4 linked regions of the Drosophila melanogaster genome follow. The gene in region 4 interacts genetically with the main gene of each other region. Each region holds a gene or a part of one and is shown on either strand. Other genes may lie near its edges. The genes, in order: Cad99C, Sans, ck and Ubr3.

The links.
Region 1: of Ubr3 (region 4) and Cad99C, changing one enhances a phenotype caused by changing the other (phenotypic enhancement), as found in Drosophila melanogaster (one study listed by BioGRID).
Region 2: of Ubr3 (region 4) and Sans, changing one enhances a phenotype caused by changing the other (phenotypic enhancement), as found in Drosophila melanogaster (one study listed by BioGRID).
Region 3: of Ubr3 (region 4) and ck, changing one enhances a phenotype caused by changing the other (phenotypic enhancement), as found in Drosophila melanogaster (one study listed by BioGRID).

The regions. Positions count from the first base shown.
Region 1 is NT_033777.3:29,839,581-29,844,846, reverse strand, and holds the start of Cad99C (cadherin 99C), read right to left. Parts: upstream 3,191-5,266; 5' UTR 3,057-3,190; intron 2,123-3,056; exon of another isoform or gene 1,974-2,122; intron 1-1,973. UniProt on the Drosophila melanogaster protein: Cadherin that functions in epithelial morphogenesis and the intestine epithelial immune response. Essential for female fertility. Regulates the length and organization of apical microvilli in developing follicle cells and salivary glands.
Region 2 is NT_033778.4:12,935,278-12,941,258, reverse strand, and holds Sans (scaffold protein containing ankyrin repeats and SAM domain), read right to left. Parts: upstream 4,369-5,981; 5' UTR 4,170-4,368; exon of another isoform or gene 4,163-4,169; intron 3,644-4,162; exon of another isoform or gene 3,586-3,643; coding exon of another isoform or gene 2,989-3,585; exon of another isoform or gene 2,916-2,988; intron 2,860-2,915; 5' UTR 2,807-2,859; coding exon 2,784-2,806; intron 2,692-2,783; coding exon 2,548-2,691; intron 2,485-2,547; coding exon 2,263-2,484; intron 2,173-2,262; coding exon 1,177-2,172; intron 1,108-1,176; coding exon 942-1,107; 3' UTR 847-941; downstream 1-846. Other genes in the region: Mdr49 (multi drug resistance 49), read left to right, coding at 1-15, 86-835; CG30487 (uncharacterized protein), read left to right, coding at 2,989-3,585; SCCRO3 (squamous cell carcinoma-related oncogene 3), read left to right, coding at 5,306-5,480, 5,559-5,696, 5,760-5,981.
Region 3 is NT_033779.5:15,054,696-15,059,784, forward strand, and holds the start of ck (crinkled), read right to left. Parts: upstream 3,168-5,089; 5' UTR 2,973-3,167; exon of another isoform or gene 2,810-2,972; intron 1-2,809. Other genes in the region: CG33679 (uncharacterized protein), read left to right, coding at 3,608-3,973, 4,037-4,192; TfIIS (RNA polymerase II elongation factor), read right to left, coding at 4,796-5,089. UniProt on the Drosophila melanogaster protein: Myosins are actin-based motor molecules with ATPase activity. Unconventional myosins serve in intracellular movements: can function in cells as a single-molecule cargo transporter.
Region 4 is NC_004354.4:7,934,109-7,939,169, reverse strand, and holds the start of Ubr3 (Ubr3 ubiquitin ligase), read right to left. Parts: upstream 3,275-5,061; 5' UTR 2,202-3,274; coding exon 1,559-2,201; intron 1-1,558. Other genes in the region: RpS14b (ribosomal protein S14b), read right to left, coding at 3,453-3,671, 3,731-3,967; RpS14a (ribosomal protein S14a), read right to left, coding at 4,622-4,840, 4,900-5,061. UniProt on the Drosophila melanogaster protein: E3 ubiquitin-protein ligase which is a component of the N-end rule pathway. Recognizes and binds to proteins bearing specific N-terminal residues, leading to their ubiquitination and subsequent degradation.

The sequences.
Region 1 (5,266 bases), on a different chromosome or scaffold from region 4:
CTGCTCCATCTGCGATCTCCATTGAAGACTCGTTGGCACCAGGAGCCACTTGCATCGTATCCGTTACTCGGATCGTTTGTTTAATGAAACGGATCGGAGTTAATCTTCTGGTTTTCGCGCTCCCTCCTCGATCGCATCCATTGGATATAGATAGCACTGTCCAGAGCAGCCGGGTTCCGTTGTGCTGGTTAACCGAAACTCATAAAATAGGGGAATAAAGTGCGCGCTCTAATGAACAAAGCGAATTATTGAATTTCAACTATTGGCTGACAATTAAAATCCAAGCTGATGGATCTCTTATCCTTAGCCGCCACTGACAACTATTGTCTTCGATGGCCAATTGCAATTCGATTTACGCAATTAGCCAAATAAACCAATCAAAATACCCATGATTTCCCAACGATTTATTTAATTTCGCCAAAGTGTGCTGCAATCGCGAGTGGAATCAAACTTGTCTGCAAACGCAACTGCTGCTGAAATTATCTCCGAAATCATAAAAGCCCCGATCGCCCATTGCGTAACTTAAGTGCGAGATATCACATGGTATTGATATGGGGGCTTAAATGCTCCGTCGTGCCGTTCCTGCTTCCATTTGCGAGGAAATCGAGAAAATCGGGAAAATCGCGAAAAGCGCTGCAAGTCCTCCGCTTTCACTGGACGGTACACAAAATGCCATTTTCCATTTCCCCCGCATAAACAAAGGCGCGAAGCTGGAGGAGATCGGAGAAGGAGCAGGAGGAGCAGGAGCAGCCAGAGGAGGAGTTCGGCGGTGGCCACCACAGAAAGTCAGTTGCTGATTATGTTCAACCGGAAACTTATAGAAAAAGCCGAATGTGCCAAACTGGTTTGCAAAATAAACGAAAGCCGAGGTATCGCTTTGAATGCCTGTGTACTGTGTGTGTTGTGTGTGTTGTGTGTGTTGTGTGTGTTGTGTGCTGCTGGGTGCAGATTCGATATGCGGCAAACCTGTTGCTTATTGATGCTGTTTTTGCCAACATTTTCTAGTTTTGAATGTGGTACAATACGTAGCGAACTTAAATCTCAAATCTGCTGGAATGCGAACGATGGTTGCCACACAAATCTTAAATAAACAAGAAAGGAACGCCAGCATTTGGGCACCGAATGGCGGCATACCCTGGTCCACCTGGCCACTCGGCTCCCCTGGATGATCACTCGGATCACTTGGATCACCTGGATACATACATTCATGTATACACCATCGTTCTGTCAGCTCCAACTGCGATTGTTATGCTAATTCGCTGAGTGTTTTATTGTATTTTAATTTTATTGGACAGAGGACGCGCTCTTGGCCATACAAAGTATTTCTCCTCACGGATCCGTGAGATGTTTCATAATATATATCGAATTCTATCAGCATATAAAGTATCTCAATCTATGCCATTCATTTTGGCTGTCCATATATTTATGACTCCTGTGGGAGTAAATATATGATCGTCTTCAAAATGGCCATTTGTCGAGTTTAATGACTCAAAGTGCTTTAACATTCTAATCGTTCTAATGAACTCGACAAGTATCTTAGAGCCAATTTGCTGAGAATCATTTTTCCTGATGATTAATTTTAATGATTCGCCTTTTTATCGAGAACACGTCTAACGAAACTTAAGCAACTGCTGAGTAACATAAACATTCTACCATTATGATTGTCTTAATTGGCCAAAATAAGTTGAGTTTAGAATAATTAAAAACAAATCTTTGAATTTAGATGATGGCCAAAGACATTGAACTGCAAATTCTTGGGTGACAATAAAATTAATCGACCTGACTTTCCGCTGAAGAAAAAACGGTTAGGTGATTATGTTTTCTGCTTTATAAATGGCTTCTAGCCATTTAGCCAAATGAAGATTAATCTCCGCCGCCCGGAGAAAAGAACATTATTTCATCATTTTGCTTCTCCCCGCCTTTGGATGCTGAATAATTTAATAATAATAATACTAATAATACTCCGCACTTACCGTTTGGTCTAAAGATTAAATATTAAAGCAGCTCAAAGTATTTCAGCTGAGTATCCAACGTGAAAAATGGAGTCACACGCCGTTAACAAAGGTTATTCTTGGTCCTCAATTACATTTCGATTTACTATATTATTCAATAGATGTTGTATCTGCGCATTAAAAAACAGGGTTAAACTCGATTAAAAACACTCGCGACACAAATTTGAAGGTGTTGTAATACTTATTTTATGTATTTCTCTGTCATAAAATTCATATTGAATCCGAAGTTGATCATTTCGAAGTTGATGATCACCGGATCACCGGCTTGGAAGTGAGTTTTGCCGCACTGAAGTGAATTTTAATTACTGTTTGGAGGTTGCCCTCTTGGATTAATTATAAGCCATAATGTTTCGCGAAAAGCTGGCGAACAAAGCGGCGCGTGGGAGTTTGGTAGCATGTAGTAAAAGTAGCATGGCAAGTCGATGACTATCTACGTATGCCTGTACAGTGAACACGACTGTGTAAGTTTCTTACACAAATCTCGACATACGTGACCTCATTTGCCGTTTTTTTTTTGTTTTTTTTGGCTGTTTTATTGCTTGTTTCTTGGTTCTTGGCAAATGCCGCAGAAATCCCGGTCGATAAATGCGATTTGCTTAATACGGCGATCACGTTCACATTCCACATTAGTGTTCTATCCTTTGATATTCGGCAAAACGATGATGGTTTCGTTTGTTTTCTGTTTTCACTCCACTGTGAGTTGTGTTGGGTAAACAAAAAAACTGAAAAATTGGCAAGAGAAAGTCTTGCTCTCGGGGGTTAAAGTGGTGTGTACAAAGGTATGATTTTTAGATTTAATGATGGCGTGAAGGCTTTGTTTGCCTCTCGGGGCTTCTTTGTTATTTAAACGGAGCGCTATTTCGAGATATCTGCGTGGTATGCCCTTTTCAGGCTTCTATGGCTACAGCTTTAGGTTGCCTTGGATCCACCGGACACACCTCACACATCCACACATCACACGTCGCCACAAACGGACCATTCTGAACTTTACACATTTTCTTGAGAGATAACTCTTAAAAAATTAGCTCTTGGGCATATTCATACCAGCTCGAAAACCGGTATCGCGCCAGCCACCTTATAGCAATAGCGCTGCGTTGGGGCACAAGCTCATACTCGTCGTGCTACACTGCGCGAAAGTACGTGGTACGTGGTGTCGGCTCGGCGGTTGGATCGGTACTGTTTCGCTTTACCTGTCTCGCGCAGCAGCGGCAACAAGTGGGCGCTACCCGATCCAAGGTGGAACGTATTGGAATTGAGCTGGCATTCGCTCGCTTTGCGGTAAAACTGGTTTTTCGGGGGTTACTCGTTTGCCAGCTGATGGATACCACACCATACTCAAACACACACACACACACACACACACACATGCGAAAGGCTTCGGCTGTGGAGCACAGGTACTGCGATCCACGATCTGCAGGTGCATGTACATACACAGCTATGTACATATGTATATGTGTATGCTGCGCGGACAGAGAATCTCGAGCGGCTAACAGCGTCTGTTAAGTCAAAGGTAAATATGTAAGAGACCACCATGTTGCATTTTCATAGGAGTTGGAGCCGTGGATCGGGCTTAGAGTTAGCCAGCCAGGCCAGGAACCAGTTTTGGGGCTTCGGCTCGGCTTGTCGCTCGCTTTGTGTTTGCTTTTCTGTTTCAGCTGCACTGCAGCCGTTGCTGTGTAAGTTTTTATTAAAATGTTTTAGTCGATGTTGCCGCGATTTTGGCCGCTCACTCCACTCCACTGCAATCCACTGCAATCCACTGCAATGCAATGCAATCCGAGCTGCGATCCGGGGCATGAATGAAGTTCACCAAAGGGGCAGACAGCATTTTTGTACCTGTCAGGCGGGCAGGGAGTCGTCGCATATGCATATTCCGTTGCCATTGTACTGGGACAATGAGACAGTTGCACCCGGCTGGCTGGCAATCCGCGAAATTGGCATTGCCATCATGGGTAGGTGTTTCCATCGAACACCACCATCGAATACCACCATTTCCATTTCCAGCCGGATGCTGCCAGAACAATTGAGCCAATATCGTTATATTGGCATTGAAAGCTGCTCAGATCGATGGGATCAGCCAAATATGATAATTTGCGCAGATCTTGTTTCTCGAAATGTCAAAGCACCTAATTATAGCAAACATAGCATATTCATATGGCACACAAACTGTACGGTAAGATTAAGCCATGTGCTAAATGGCTATTAGCGGAGTATCTTCATGGTGCTAAACGCATGGGAGTCTGCCATCTTCATCACAACTGGCTGGAGGAGAAAGTGCAAGGGTTTTCAGCAGATGTACGTCATTAGCTCGTTTTACTGTTTGCTAACAAGCCAGTTGGCTGTTAGCTCCTCACCTGGCCAAATCCGCATCCCACTGGGTTGGGATTTAATTAAGGCTTAGCTTCTTTCGTTATTATAAAGAGGCAGTTTCTTGCTACATTTATTGGGGGTTCTTGGATTACCATAATGTCTGTGCTCTTCCGGCTTGGTCATCACTTTTACGATTCGAATGGCCCATTTTCGCGATAATTTGCCGATCGGCTTACATATGTCAAGTTCGAAAAAACAAAGTGCCAACTGTTTGAATTCGCTACTCTAACAGGAAGTTTTTGGATTATGAACAAGTTGGTTAGGAGGAGCTTGTAAGGTGTATTTCATTTTAGCCATTTATGCTGACATTTAACAAAAGTGTAGTTCAGTGACCCAAAGTTACACGCTGCTACTGGAGTTGTAGCCAAGACAGATTTGCTTGTGATTCTGCAAAATGTTTTTGGTAGTAGCAAGCTATATGCTGATATGCTCCATGAGTACCGGATATGAAGGTATCAAGCGAAATGTGTCAGCCAAAACTGTAAGGTTTCGCATTGACCATGCGCAAAAGCTCGAATTGCTGGTTGAGCCAGTTTAAAATCATTTTTGCCTTCCTGAGAATTTTCGATTGCACAAACGACAGGTGCAGCATAGGCAAAATAAATTGTGGTGCATAGCAAATATCGTTTCGAAAATGCTTTATTTCAGCCATATTACCAACAGACAGTTGCAGACTAGATTTTATTGGCTCCTGGCTTAACTTCTTTGAAGAAAAGTTAAGTGGGAAAAGCGCAACAAGTCAGTGAACGAGTAAAAAAACATGCAACCTGCTGGCTTTAAAAAATATTACGTTATCAGCGCAAAAAGCGAATGAACTAATAAAGGCAAATAATAAACCGCCTGGTTTCAAATTACTTCACTTTGGCAGAGCTCCACTTCTGCCC
Region 2 (5,981 bases), on a different chromosome or scaffold from region 4:
TACAATACAGTTGAGGTAAGTCAACATTTCGCCAATCGAAACCGTACATTATGTTGGAAACTCAAATTTGATTGTTTTTTTTTAGAAATCCGAGGGAGACATTGTCTATGAAAACGTGGGCTTCGAATATCCCACCAGGAAGGGCACTCCCATTCTGCAGGGCCTAAATCTCACCATCAAGAAATCGACGACGGTTGCTCTGGTGGGTCCATCTGGTTCCGGCAAGTCCACCTGCGTGCAACTGCTGCTTCGCTACTACGATCCCGTATCGGGATCCGTGAATCTGAGCGGAGTGCCGAGCACGGAATTCCCGTTGGACACACTGCGCTCCAAGCTGGGCCTGGTCTCGCAGGAACCCGTGCTCTTCGATCGCACCATTGCCGAGAACATAGCTTATGGCAACAATTTCCGTGACGATGTGTCCATGCAGGAGATTATTGAGGCGGCCAAGAAGTCGAATATCCACAACTTTATAAGTGCTTTGCCCCAAGGCTACGACACCCGACTGGGCAAGACATCGCAGCTCTCTGGAGGTCAGAAGCAGCGCATCGCCATCGCTCGAGCCCTGGTTAGAAACCCGAAGATACTCATCCTGGACGAGGCCACCTCTGCGCTGGACTTGGAGAGCGAGAAGGTGGTGCAACAGGCGCTGGATGAGGCGAGATCAGGCCGCACATGCCTGACGATTGCGCATCGTCTGACCACCGTGCGGAATGCGGATCTCATCTGTGTGCTAAAACGCGGCGTGGTAGTGGAGCACGGCACCCACGATGAGTTGATGGCACTGAACAAAATCTACGCCAATCTCTATCTGATGCAACAGGTGTCGGGCTAACACAGCGAACTGGAGTGATAATTGTTAGGCTTTAATTTAGTATGTACACTAGGCTAATTGAACATGTTGAAGTATTACAAAAAAAATAGAATGATTAGGCCAACTACTACAGTCGACTGTCTACCAGGGGTCCGGGATTGGCCAGGGCGTTACGTCTCTCCTGAATGGCGAAGGTGAGTTTACGGAATGGCCCCAGTGGCAAGCCAAGTGACTTAAGGTCCGATTCTGTGAGCAGCATCAGAGTCTCCAAGTCGATCTCTTGCTTCTGAAATCTGAAATGGTAAAGGAGGATACGAGTTGAATACACATACATTCCAGACAAATTTGGTTTTGTTACTCACACTGGCAGGTATTCTTCCAGGGCCCAAACGGCCAGGAATCGCTGCAAGGCACTTCCTCCGGCATCTCGGTCGTCGTCGTCATCATCGCTATAGATGTCATGACCGCCGCCCTCCGAGTCCGTATCATCCGAAAGGTTCAAATATAAACGACCCTTTCCTCCGCCATTTCGTGTCTTTGGAGGATTGCTGCCCGCATTCCGCATCGTGGAAGTGGAACTGGTGTCCGTGTGCAGTTGAAGCTGACTTAAAGCAGCAGTTACGGATCGACGAAAGGCAATGCTGCCCAGCATGGTGGGTCTATCGAAGAGTCCAACGGGTCTCTGGAGGGTCACTTCCTCGCTTAGTTCCTGGGTCAACTGACCATCCCCCAGAATATCCGGTTGGGAGAAGGAACGCGCTAAAGTAGAGCTATAGCCACTGCGGTTATCGCTGTGGTCCAACTCATCGGCCTCCATGCACTCAAAAACATCGCTGATCTTGCCGCGCTTGCCGACACTGTCCTCGTTGGAACTAAAGGTGCCCACATACAGCACCTCGGAGTCTCTCTGCAGACCCGTAAGCGATGTAATGGTTCGCTTTCCATCTGGCTCCACCTCGCGCACCTTGAAGCCACCGTCTGTGTCGCTGGATATCTTCGAGTGTGGACATGTGCTGCTGTGCTGCTTTTGGAGCTGCGACGGTCTCTTTTGCACCGTTCCCGCTCGACTGGCTATTGTGGAGCCACCGCTGCTGCTGCTACCGTTCCCAACCAGATCGCTGAACTTTGTGGGAGGCGGTGTATCCCTTGGTGTCTTATTTAGATTGCCCTGGCTGGACCAGATCTTCTGCTTCAGAGTGGACAGCATGTTGCCGGTCTTGCTGGAGCCACTGGGTGCGCTTAGATCCGAATACTCCGGATCCTGGCGCTGTTGCTGCTGATTCTGGCGCTTCATGTACTCCCTAACACGTTTCTCGCAGTTTTTCTCGGCCAATTCTTTCAGGGCCTTGCTTTTTTTTCTGTTAGTTGAAGTATTAGTTTTAATATATACAAAAAATAAATTATGCAAACAAAAATGCAAGCAAGTGGCAGATATTTCATAAACTTACTTTTCAGTGGCCTCAAAGTTTGTGAAGGCAACATCCAAGTAGCGCAGGATCTCGTCCCTGCCATTAATAGCCGCCAGATCCTTGGCGCTGTGCTTATCGATATCCAAGGCATAGATGTTTACTCCGAATTTCACCAAGAAGTCGACGCAATGCAAATGACCCTTGGCGGAGGCCAAGTGCAAGGCTGTGTTTCCGAACTGATCGCATTTGTCAGGGTCACCACTGAAGGGAGAGGAAAGGATTATCTTCAGTGGATATAGAATTATCATTTAAACGAATGCGTACCCCCTTCCGCACAGCAGACGCAGTGCATCCAGACGCCCCTCGAAGGCAGCCCACATGACCGGCGTCATGGAATCACTGTCCTTGGCATTCGTATCCTTCCGTGTGGCTGCTGCCAACACATCCAACAGCCCATCTTTGGCGGCTCTAAACGGAAACGATTGTACCAGAAAGTTAATGAGTCTCTTGTGCATCACCATTGGTGATAAGATAGAGTCAAATTAATTGCATGTACCCACTTGTGAAACCGATCCGATGACATATTCGTCTGTGTTATCTTTCAATCAGGTTGGCGATGGAAATTCTTGAATCGATCTGAAAGGAATCCAAGGCGAGATGAGTAGGCTGTTCATTATACTTGCCATTCCTTTCCATCACACATCTCAAGATTCTCAAAATTAGGTCACACACATAAGCGCCAACAATTCTTTACAATTAAAAAGCATGTCTATAGAAAAAATCTCCTCCGAGCTGCGTAAGATGATAATATCTGACAATCCAATCGAAGCAACAACTTTCGATAAATCTGCAATAGAGGCAACTTTGGATTCCAACAAATTCGAAGATCTACGAATTCCGAAGCATACACTGAAGCAAAAGTTTCTTCTTCGAAAGTCAATAATTGAACATCCCTTTAAAAGAATTCGTGCCGAAGGAGTGGATTGGGCTCACAAAATTCGAGACACCGACGAAGAGAAGGAATCTAATTGGGCAAAGATTGCGACTGGAAAGGTTTCTGGCAATGCCTACGATCTTAAAACCATGATGAGCGAGTGTGAAAATATTTGTGGTTACGGAAACGCCATAAACTTGACGGTCCCAAGGGTGGACAAACTACAGGATCTGGCTAAATCGATCCCAACGGATCCCGATACAGTCTACCTGACCTGTCAATGTGATGATATTTTCTCTAATGGAGGCACAGAAGCTCCGACTCAAAGCCCCGACGAAGTTAATTTCGAAGAGCTGTCCAGCTACTTCGAAAATATGCTCAACATACCCAAGAATCTTCCGCTCAGCGCTGAAATAATGTATACTTAATGATTGGAACGGTGTGTGTATTGTTATATTTAGAGTAAAAAAAGATATAAATCATTTTAGTTTACGGTTTTCTCATTTTAGATGTGGTGATGTTAGGTTTGGATCCCTATATATGCATATACATATGTACAATGTATGTATCAGATCGACTGATTTCCGTTTTGGTGTTACTGGTACCAAATGTAGACGGGGTTTTCGTACTTCTTGTCTTACTCCACTTTTTAATGTGCTTATTGTGTGGGGCTGGCCAATTAAAATAAGCCCGAAGATGAGCCAAATTCCTAAGCCTAAGCATATTGCCCTTTTTCCCAGCACTTGTACTAACGTTCACACGTTTCGAATTAATAATCCAAAAAAGAAAAAGAAAAGTGTAGCCGCCGCGAAGAATCACAGGCCCACGACACACGCACACAAGAAAACATTACCCATTTACTGCGCACGACGGAGTTTGGCTTACATACCAACGACCAACTACCAAGTTCACTCAACCTTGTTGGCTGGTTTTCGAATTGCCCAAAACAACCGAAAATCGAGACAGTCAACCATTTACTTATTTACCACGGGTACACACACTCACTTATTACCAGTTAGTTGTCCCGGTTCAAGACGACTTTTCAAATGCAGGATTTCAAATTGGATTTTCCCACTCCGGGCAGCTTGACACTTTTCTTTTTAGCCAAACGAACCGAAAGTTTTCATCTGCGATCGGTAGAATATGCACGTTCCGAAAGCCGTTACCCGGAAGCACTTTCTACCGCTCCGACTGCATGTTGTTGAATGAAATTGTTAGCTTTGCTCAAACTCGGCGCTCACATTACGCACAGTGGTCGAGAAAATGATAGATGCTGCTTAGACGGCAACTAAATATTTTAATGGGAAAAATTATGTATGCTAATGTTTTGTTTTAAATTTCTTAACCAATAAAGTAATATAAAGAATATAAATTAATAAAAACATTGTATTGAACGTATTGGTTCAATAATCGTATTTGAATATAGAATAATTTGTACGAAAATATTTAAGGTGTGAACTACTGTGCGGAATCAACTTGTATGTCCTACTGTGACTCTCTTCGACGATAGGGTGTTGCCAGACTGAAGTTGCTACGACTATCGCATCAACTAACGTAGAGCACTGCAGCCCTGGTTGACTAGTGCCGCCCTGGTCCGATTGCCAGAAAAAAACAAGACAAGTGAAAAAGCGAGATAAATCAAATTAAAAATATTGTAAAAAATTGTAGTTAAACACGCGCTGGAGCACGGTGAACTGAAAATGTGAATGAAAACCATCAATAGAGAGAGACGAGCGCGATTTGGTGGCACCAAATGCTGCAGTTGCAACCTGCACATGTATGTGTATACGCGTGAGTGTGCGTTTGCGTAGGAGGCACCAAAATAACAACAGCAATCGCAGTGACAACAAAGAATCGGAATCGGAATCGTACTTGTTTGTACTCGCACAGGACGTACTTGGAATCGGAATCGGAATAGCCACTACCATATGCCAGAGGAGGGAATCGCAGTGCCAATGCATAGTTAATAAATTTCCCAGAAGCTATACGACCAGCAGACCTCAATTGCAATTGCACGCCCCTTGACAAATCACAGTGTCTCAGCCAAAACGAAACTGGAAGCCATCGAGTGCTCCCGTTAAGCAAGCAACTGCAGGCGGAGCACGGGGGAGGAGTAGGACCTGGTGGTGCACCAAGCACGCCCGCACTATGGGCAATTGCCTGAAATGCTTCCAGTCTGCCGCCGAACAATCGATGCCAACGAACGCCTCGTCCCCCAATTCACACAATTCCAATTCCAACGCCTGCCAGACGGCCACCAGCCTTGCAAATTGCTACGAATCGGTGGGCATTAATCCCAATGCCAACGAGCGCTGCGCCTTAGGTGGGTATTCTATAGTTAATAACCGCATTGTGATCCAAAGTCTAAGAAACCTCTCTTATTCCGGCTTATGCACTCTAGAAACCGATGAACTGCTCTCTAGCCGAACTCCACTCAAGCCAGCAAAAGCAAACAATTGTGATACTAAGCGTAATAGTTTTAAGTCTTTAGGTTTGCTTAATGGCAGTGCGCCCACCATGAGCGATATCATAACAACTGGTGAGTCAGCGTTCATTCGACTGCCTTGGCGGCATACTCATTCGATTTTCTATATTCTAATAGCTGTCCAGGAATCGATGGAGGTATCGCACCAAACGCTGAGCAAACTATTCGATGTGTACAAAGATCCCGACGACGAGGAGATGATACTCACGGACGGCATCGAGCGACTATGCAATGACCTCAACTATCAGCCCGATGAGTTCGCAATTCTCGTCTTGGCCTGGTGCCTGGATGCCTCGCAGATGTGCCGCTTCACCAAGGTGGAGTTCATTGAGGGTCTGC
Region 3 (5,089 bases), on a different chromosome or scaffold from region 4:
CTCTCCACGGTAATTGCAACATGCCAGACAAAAAAAAAAATAAAGCAGCAACAGCTACGGAGCAACCAAATTTAGTGGCACACGGCGGCACGTATACTCGTACACATACCAGTCTGGTTACGCTCTGCCGGTCAAAATACGAGTCTAGTGCACATAGGGAACCCATCTATCCGCGATCCACACTCGAACCACAACCATATAGCGACCTCAATTGTCGGCTGGAGTTCAAACATTTAACTAAGACATACATACATGTATTAAGTAATATTGCTCAATACTCGTTGTCCTGTTATCAGCACCCAATTTAATAGTTTAATGCCCTCATTGTCATCTAAATCCCCTCTTTCCGCAAGTACTTAACTGTAGAACGCGGAAAAGGTTTCATTTATTGGGAACTCTATTTGTATCTTAAGGATTGCTTTTTAGGTAAACGTATCTATATTCGTATTTTAATCTTTTTTTGGTACTCAATCCACAACTGTTTTCAAATTGAAGAGAGCACTTAGACTAAGCACAGTCATGACTGAATTATTTAAAAACGATTGCCTAATTGCCGTACCTGCTGTTATCAGAATTTCCCTGCAGTGCAAGTAGCGATAAGAAGCGAAACATCAAACAAGGTGTAAATCGAGGTGTGAGGCAGACATTTGTATCTCTGGGCATGACCAAAAACGATTAAAAAACTTATAGAATCGAGCAAAGAGCGTCTAAGAATTTCCGGCTCTGCAGATTTAGCATCGAATGGTAGTGATAGTGGACTCAGTGACGAACGATTGGCACGTATCTAAGTGCATATATATGGTAACCATATGTATGTATATGTACTGCATGTATATATGTCTATAAGTAAGAGAGTGCGTTTTTAGTGAGTGATCCAAAAGTTCATCGAGAGTCATTAGTGAAAGTTCGTGTGTGGCAGCCACGTACAATTACGGTTTATGCCATCTACTCTACACTACATACAGACACTCGGCCATATATTATCTATAAACATATGTACATATAAAAGTATGTATGGCGTTCATACCAATTGTTTAATACAACCACTTTTTGTTCACTTTGACTTTGACACTTGACATCATGTTGTTGTCATCTTTGAGCAATTTGTGGCATAAAAACATTTCCTATCTGAAAAATTCATATTCGTCTTATTTTACAAAAAATGCAATAATAATCCTATAAGGTTTCACTTTACTTATACGTTAATTGGAGCACTTTAGTTAAACCCATATTGTTTTATTGGTCACTTGAATTATAGCTCTCAAGATAATATGGCTAATAATAAATCCGTAGTAAAGTCTATGGAATGCGAACGATTCTTAAATTTAAGAGCAAATGCACTTTTTCAATTCATTTGAACATTTATAATATTACTTATTTTACAAAAATATTGATTATATGTTGCCTTTAGACCTTTTCAAATTTAAATTATAAAGTGTTTGTTATTAATGTGAACTTGTAAATGATTTAAATTTAAAAAACACCGTTAGTTGTAGAATTTTTTTTTAACTTTTTCCATAATTACTAGCATTGCTAACAAAATTCTTTTTCGCAAAACTTCGTTTGTTGTTCACACAATTTGCTTCTGGTTTAACAACTGAAATCTTCTACAAAATTTAACGACTCACCAGCGACAACAACAAAAATAAAAAATGGGCAAAGTATTATGTTCATTTTTTTTTTATTATGTATTTAGAGAAGACCTTAAAAAAGTTTCACCAAACAAACAGAAAGTCGCTGCGTGCGCGAAAGCCCCCAGCAACAACAAAAACAAAAACAGCCCAACAACCCAAATGGAAACGCAAAAAAAAGGTTGAGATGGGAGAGAAGAAACAAAAACCGGCTAATGAAAAGCGTTTATTTGAAAAAGGGTTTTCCAATTGTCCACACACGAAATGTCCCGTTGTGCAACAGCAAAAACAACAAACCGGACAAACAAGTGTGCCTGCGTTTTTGTTGTTATTGTCAATTTCAGAACTCTTGACCGCTGAACTGCAAGAAAAAGCAGACGCTTCATGATCGATTTGTATTTATGCAAATTTATGTAAATGGGATATACAAATATTTAACTTGAATGTTTGAAATTTATAAACAATTAATGATAGTACACTCTGATTAGATTAGATTTACACAGTAAAAGTATTTCATATATGTATATTTTTCATAATCATAATGATAGATTATAAAAAAAAACGTTTTCAACTGATTAATAAAACACACTTAGTCACTGTTTTAAGGTTTACGCACGTAATTCCATAAAAGACTATTCAAATCATTTTAAATTGACATCGTTTATTTCTCAGTGTGGAAGCCTGGTTCAAGCTCAAGGAGAATGAGAGGGAGAGAGCGCACTGTCGAGAGCGGGTGGGAAAGGTACGTGGCAGAGGGGGAGACGGTAGCAGCACCCTTGAATGTGTTGCACTGTGAGCCGCTCTTTACGCATCTCTCCCTCTCGCTCGCTCTGCAGCTCCTCGGCAGGTGTACCTGTCCGTGTGTGCGTGCGAGAGAGCGGGGCTGCGCTTGTAGTGTGCATGTTAGTACCGTTCTAGCCAACGAAACCTGAAGCGTAGCTATTTAATTTGGTCACTCGCCTAAAGCAATAAAAATGCAATGCAGCCACGTCTCCGTCTGGAAATGCAATAAAATCGATGATGTTACACTGAACCGATGCTGTGACCCTTGTCATTTTCCCCACTGGCTTTTCTAGCCACAAACAGACACACATTTACACAGACCGCTTGGCAGGGTTAATGCACTCTTTTCTTTTAGTTTCGTTTCATTTCTTTTCTTTTTTCCAATCACTCTCTACCTTAATTGCCGCCTCAGAATTTTGCACTCTCCGCTTTTCGGTCACCGAATTCGAATTCTAATTGGAATCGCTCTCGCCACGACCGTTTAATTAACACTTTTCCAGACCCGTCGAAAGCGGGATGTTCTTTTTCAAAAACAGGTTACATAAATAGGTCACGCACCAGCAGTCGCAGGAATAGAGCAGCGCGCCGAAAGTCCGCTTTTCCAGCACAGTTAAGCCGAGCAACAGGTGGATTACAGACCACTGATCATTTTGGGGCTGTGCGATTTGTTTATTGTTTTTCTTTTCGCCGAGAAGACAAGACTTGAAGCGAAAAATAACAACCGATAAACTGATCAATAAGAGTGACCAGGTGGTGGGGCCAGTTGCGAATGGCCTAAAAAATGCGCGGATTACTAATCGTGGTATGCTAACGAGTTAACATTACAGTTCATTTGAAAACCGCTTATATGGTCACATTGCCGCGTAAGCAGTCCGATCGATAGACTTCCGATAGCATCGATAAAAATAAGCATTACTTACCCAAATTTATCGACCTGCCTAATTTCGGCGCGCATTTCAAAATATCTGTCATAAGCTATTGCATTTTTCAAGAAATATCTTTTTTCTATGTCAATATATTAAACATGTCGTCATATTAGCTCATTGAAGCGGTTTGTTGATTACCTAATTATTTATACGAACTGCGATAAGTAGTAATTAAAATCTAATTATGCCCCATCAGTAATTATATTTTTGGAAACCAGTACTCCACCATCGCGTAGAGTGGTCATTACATCCAGACTATTTGCCCTGATGAAGTACCTCTTGTGGATCAGCTTACTTTTCATTGGAGAATCCCATGGATACGTGCGCCTCACGAACCTCAAGTGCGAAAGCTATGACAAATCATTCGTCGTCTTTCCCGAATGCCGACTAAAAGTGCTTGGCAGGGGAATTATCGGAGCCAACATACACGTTAAGCTTCTGAAACTGCCAATAAATAGGATGGTCGTGAGATTCATCACTTACCGGAAGCTAAACGGATACCATCCGTTTCTATTTAATGTTTCCGAGGAACACTGTCGCGTCCTAAGGTATCCAAATCGTCTCAGAGTCTTCTACTATTTCTACACCGCCTTTATGCCCTTTTCCAATATTAATCATACATGTCCCTATAATGTAAGTATTTAGTTTCGCCAATATGACAATCATATTAAATCATATTAAAATATATATTTTAAGGATGATATTTACATAAGGAACTGCACCTTGGATGATCGTATGTTTGCCAAGGTCCCATTACCAAAGGGTAGCTATAAGTTAACCCTCGAAATGGATGATGGTGTCGTGAACTGGATTTCCATCATAAACATCCACTTTGAAATTGACGTTGACTAAGATGAACAAAACATTAGAACACCTAATGGATCTAACACAACGAACACATATTTATTTTGCGTTAATGTTTTAATTATTCCTATGCCCGCTATATGATATAGTTGTCCGATCTGGCCCGTTCCGACTTCTATACTTAATGCAATACAAAGTTCGTTAATGCAAATTGCTTTAAAACTGACTAATTACATCGGTTGTTAATACTCTTCGAGAATACATACACAATATGGCGTCTTATTTACTTCTCTGCTAGATCATTCTGAGTTATATTTATAATGTATTCATATTTACTTTGCTCAATGCTCAATTTATCGCCCCGCTGTGTTATCGGCGAGTTATCAGCAGCGTGGTCGTTATCACCGGCGTTTTTAAAAAACTGATTGCGGCAACAAGACGTCTCCGTTTTATCAATAGTTAATGTTTATTGAAATTTCTTTTCTCTCGTTTAAGGTTTAGGTGGTCAGAGTAAACGCCTCCGCAGTTGGGCAGCAGATACAAAATGTTTTCTCGCGTGTCGTGTCTTTACAATGTTTCATTTAAGAATATGAAGGATGTGTGGTGTGTGCTCATTTGGGATTGATTTATATTTTGGAACAATTTTGGGAGTTAGCAGAACTTCCATCGGTTGCCGCACTCGTTGCACATGACGAAGGTGGTCATAGGTTCATCGGCGGAACGAGTCTGCAGCTGGTTGTAGGTGCAGTTGCGCTTCTTGCACTTGGCGCACTTGAGGAGATCGGTCTTGGTGCCCTGCACGGTGGCCAGCTGGGCATCGTTGATGGCCTCCTTGACGAACTTCTCGCGCAGCTTCTTCATCTCATCGCTGGCCATCTCCTCCGGCGTCATTTTGGCCAGCTGCTTGGCAGTGACGGCGCCGCACATAAAGTTGCCTCGCAATCC
Region 4 (5,061 bases):
CACAAAACGATTAAATATCGCTTGCAAATTTGAGCGATGAGGTGAAATTGTAAAACCAGTCGAGGCTAGCTGATTTTTTCTGACCGACCGCATTGCCTTGCTATTGCTATTGATTTGATTTGAGTTCCAAAAATAAAATGATGCACTCATTGCTTAGTTAATTTCTTGCTTTTAGTTGCGTGACTCTTTGATTTTTTGTCTTCGGCCTGCGTTCTGGGGCGTATGTACATGTATTTATGTACATACGATTGTTTTATGTTTCGTAGTTTATACACATATGTATGTTCATATGTATGTACGTATTCCGCTCGGACCTTGTTGACTAAAAAGGTCAACGTTGTCGGCCGCCGCATGCGGAAGGAAATCGAATGGATTGGCCAATAACAACCACAGTGCAGCGGAAAGTTGATTGACAATGTTGTAAAATTGTAATAGCGATCGATCAACGGAAAGTTAGCAACTCTCTCTCGCTCTCACTATCTTGGCTCAGCAGTCTCTTTCTAACTGAGAACTTTTGGACAAGGTCCGAATGGAGGAGCAAGGGTGTGGCGAAGGGAAGGGGAGGTGACATGACATGGGAACGGAAAAAAGGTGCACTCTCTCACCCTCACCCATACACGCACGCACGCACACACATACACACCACCCAATAACATAACGGTCTTTCGGTCAATTGCCGTTGACAGCTTACAGTGGGCCACATCACATCCGCCCCTCGCGACCACTGTGCGTGTTTTTGTCAAATCAACAACAATGACGGTCAATCAACTTTTTCCGCACCAGTGCAATTTTGCAATTGTTCTTGCAACGAGTAACAAACAAAAAGGTGAAAGAAATATAACACAAAAAAAAAAAAGGAGCACCTAGCGGTGACAAAAGGTGCCATCATATAATCAAGCACCATCTACATTCGTGTTCGTGTGGTTTTGGGACGGATGCTGCGGAAACATTTATTACGCAAGGCGTACCGAAACAGCTGATACAAAGCCACAAGGTGCAAGCTGCATTCCACTGTGCGTGTACGTCTCCGCCCGCCAGTTTGCACGAGTGTGTGTATGTGTGCGTGTGACAGAGCTGACAAGTGGGACAAGACAAGACAAGACTAGACGCGACAAACAACCATAAACGATAAAAGCAACTTTGGCGACATACGCAGCCTGGCACAAAAAGTAATAAGTAGTGATGAAAATTATGCACAAATACAGCATTGCAAATAGATGAGCAGTTGAGATTAAATTGGGCTAAAGTTGACTCCCCTAATCAGTGCATATGTGTGTGTAGTGAGTGTGCTGTGTGTGCGAGAGAGTGCGCTTGATTGCTGTTGCCATGGTGGTGCACTCGCACTCTTCACGCTGCCTTGCACCTTGCTTTTATGCTCTCTTCCTCTCTACCTTTTCTTTGCGTGCCCTACAACCATTACATTTCACAGACACACACACACATAACGCAGGTAACACACACATGCTCGGTCAGAGTTTCAGGGGCAACGGACTTGCGATCAGCTGTTTGGCGATAGAAAATGCAACACACTTATCGATATGCACACATTGGGACGTACCAATTTTAACAAACTCCTGCGGCGTCCGTCCGCCGGCAATGAGCCATCGTATCCACTCGATGTTGTCCAGATTGTCGATGGGCGTCCCCGGATTGAATAGGGTATCCATTATGGAGTCGAGATCGGGTGTGGGGCTGCCACGGCAGCATTCCGTGTTGATCAGGGCGGCCACCTCCTTGCGGCTGCGCAAACTGAACGAGGAGGCGCCAAAGAAGAAACTTGGCTTGGCGCCGGCATCGTCGGATAAGGCGGACGCGGCTCCCGATTCCGCGGCTGTGCCGGAGCTTGTAGTTGTAGTTGGTCCTGTCCTGGGCGGTGGCGGCGGTGGAGCAGCAGCGGCCGCCACACTGGAATCCCAATCGTGGAAGGGGGAATGCGAGTTATCGGTGGTTGTTGGAACTGCTCCAGCTGCGACCCCTCCGCCACCAATTGTGGATCCACCAGCGATGCGCACTGATGCGGGCGATGGTGCCGAGACTATGGGTGGCACGACGTACACCGAAGACAGATCCACGTCGGATGACCCATCTTCGTTATCCAGCTCCTGATCCTCTTGCATGGGCGGATGGTGGGTCTGCTCCCGCACCACCTCCTCGTCATCTATGCTTATGTCGGCATTGGACAGGTTGTCATCCTCGTCCATGGTGATGGGCGTTTATTTGGTGACGTCGCCGGTCCGCTGCTCCGTTCCTAGCACGCTGAAATTCTGAAATTCTTCCAAACTTGGCCGCTGTGCTGCTGCTGCTGCTCTTTTTCTTCTTTCGGTTCGGCCTTTTCAAACAAGTTTTCTTTTCGTCTTTTTTCGGCTTCGGCTGCTGCTTCTTCTACGTTACTGCGTGATTTTTTCTTATGATTTTATTTTTTTGTTGTTTGGGTAGTGGCCGAATTTTACCTTTATGTTTTTGTTTATGGCGATGTTGCGTTCAATTGAAAATTTTGATCGAAACTCTTGTGGTGTCCGGGGATAACAAATTAAAGAGGGGAAAAGGTTGGCAAATTGGCTGAACGCTGAACGGAGAGCTGGAAACGAAAAATTTCACAACACCAAACACTTGACACTTAGCTCCGTCGGTTCCTGGGTTTGATTTTTGATGTTTAACTCTCGGCGACGTCGCCCAACCAACCGACCGACCGACCGACCTATTGTGTGCTGTGGCTTTCGGGGAGCTATTGGCTGTATCATCTATATCCCCATTATCCGTTTCCGGATCGAGGAGTACTCTGGCTGATGGCCTTTTCTCGATATCGTATCGCACCGTACCGTTCCGTTCTGTGGCCGTACCGTGCCGTTTTTCCCCGATATTTTGCTCACTTTTCACGCTGTTTCATCCGCGAGTCTTGCAGATATACGAATATGTGCGCACACATACTCGTCGCGGACACACACACAAACACGTACGGAGACGACACCACACAAACAGGCACGCACACGAACAAACATACACTGGCAAGTGTGGCCAAATATATTAGTCGTGCATTGAACTTGCCAATTACGCCGATTTTAGCTTGTTAGTCGCAGATAAATGAACCGCTGGGCCAGCTAGTTTGTTTCTTTGGTGCATGGGTGGCCCTTTAGCTGCTGCCTCTGCGTTCGCGAATGCCTTTAATCCTGCCAACTTCGATTTGCTCCACGAATCCACACACGGTCTTCGTTGGCGTGTATATCAGGATATCGATAGGTCTTGAATTTCATCCAGTGTGACCGCTCTACACCTGCACATACCATTGGTGGTCCCAACCATCACCTATCGATAGCACCACCTAACGACGCGTTGCCACTGGCCACAATGAAACACATGAGCCCAAAAAACATGCCCTTGCCACTGCATTTATGCATGTATTTAATAGTATAAGAATATAAAGCAGCGTCAAAAGCGGGTGGCACGATCCATTTCTACAGACGACGACCTCGGCGACCGCCCTTCCTGCGGGTAGAGTCCGATGGGATAGGGGTCACATCCTCGATGCGGCCAATCTTCATGGACGAACGGGCCAACGCACGCAGAGCGGACTGGGCGCCGGGTCCGGGGGTCTTGGTCTTGTTGCCGCCGGTGGCACGCAGCTTAATATGCAGGGCAGTGATGCCCAGTGTCTTGCACTTCTCAGCCACATCCTGGAGGGAATTGAAACCGTTAGACGGGCTCCAACTGGACCGGAGAGCGCACAACTCACCTGAGCGGCCAACATAGCGGCGTAGGGCGAAGCCTCATCACGATCGGCCTTCACCTTCATGCCTCCGGTGACACGAGCGATGGTCTCACGGCCGGACAGATCCGTGACATGGACGAAGGTGTCGTTGAAGCTGGCGTAGATGTGAGCCACTCCGAACACGATCTCGCCGTCGCGAACTTGGGGTCCCAGCTGGACCTGAACCTCCTCCTTCTGAACTTTAGCCTTTCTTGGAGCCATTCTGCAGAGTCTGGTCGTCGATCAGCAACTAAAAGAGAAAAAAACACCATGTTTATTTGCCGGCTCAAATCACTACAAAAAAAAAAACAACACAAAAAAAAATGGGGGAGAAACAAATTAATTCGCCACCACTTTCACGGCGTCCGCAAAATTTTTCATTTTATGCTAAATCACTGAATCATATTTAGCAGCAACTTTTCGCTTTTGCCGCCAAATAAGTCAATTGCAGTAAAATTGAACAAAAAAAGGGAGAAATAGCAGAAAACCAACCAATTGCGTGCGCCGGATGCGAAAAAAAGAAGGCAAAAACAACACAGCTGGTAATGCGATAGTTATCGACGCATAGTTACTTTGATGGCGCAATCGGGCTACCACCGCGTTGGGCACGCCAGGGTGGCAACTCTTCGGCTTGTAATGTGCAATTTTTGTAAACATTTCGCCAATGTCCTTATAAATCAAATATTGCAGCACTTGCAGACCCCAAACCGAACCCAATGCACACACAAAAATGTCTTGTAGTCATTTACATCGTATTTTCCTGGTTTATTACAGTGCACCTATGCACACGAACAGAAAAGCTTTCTTATCGCATACACAAATGCAGTATTGTATTTCGACCGCAAACATAGACTACTGCTTTCCAGATACTGCCATCTACAGACGACGACCACGGCGACCGCCCTTCCTGCGGGTGGAGTCCGATGGGATGGGCGTCACATCCTCGATGCGGCCAATCTTCATGGACGAACGGGCCAAAGCACGCAGAGCGGACTGGGCGCCGGGTCCGGGGGTCTTGGTCTTGTTGCCGCCGGTGGCACGCAGCTTAATATGCAGGGCAGTAATGCCCAGTGTCTTGCACTTCTCAGCCACATCCTGGAGGGAATTGAAACCGTTAGACGGGCTCCAACTGGACCGGAGAGCGCACAACTCACCTGAGCGGCCAACATAGCGGCGTAGGGCGAAGCCTCATCACGATCGGCCTTCACCTTCATGCCTCCGGTGACACGAGCGATGGTCTCACGGCCGGACAGATCAGTGACATGGACGAAGGTGTCGTTGAAGCTGGCGTAGATGTGAGCCACTCCGAACACGAT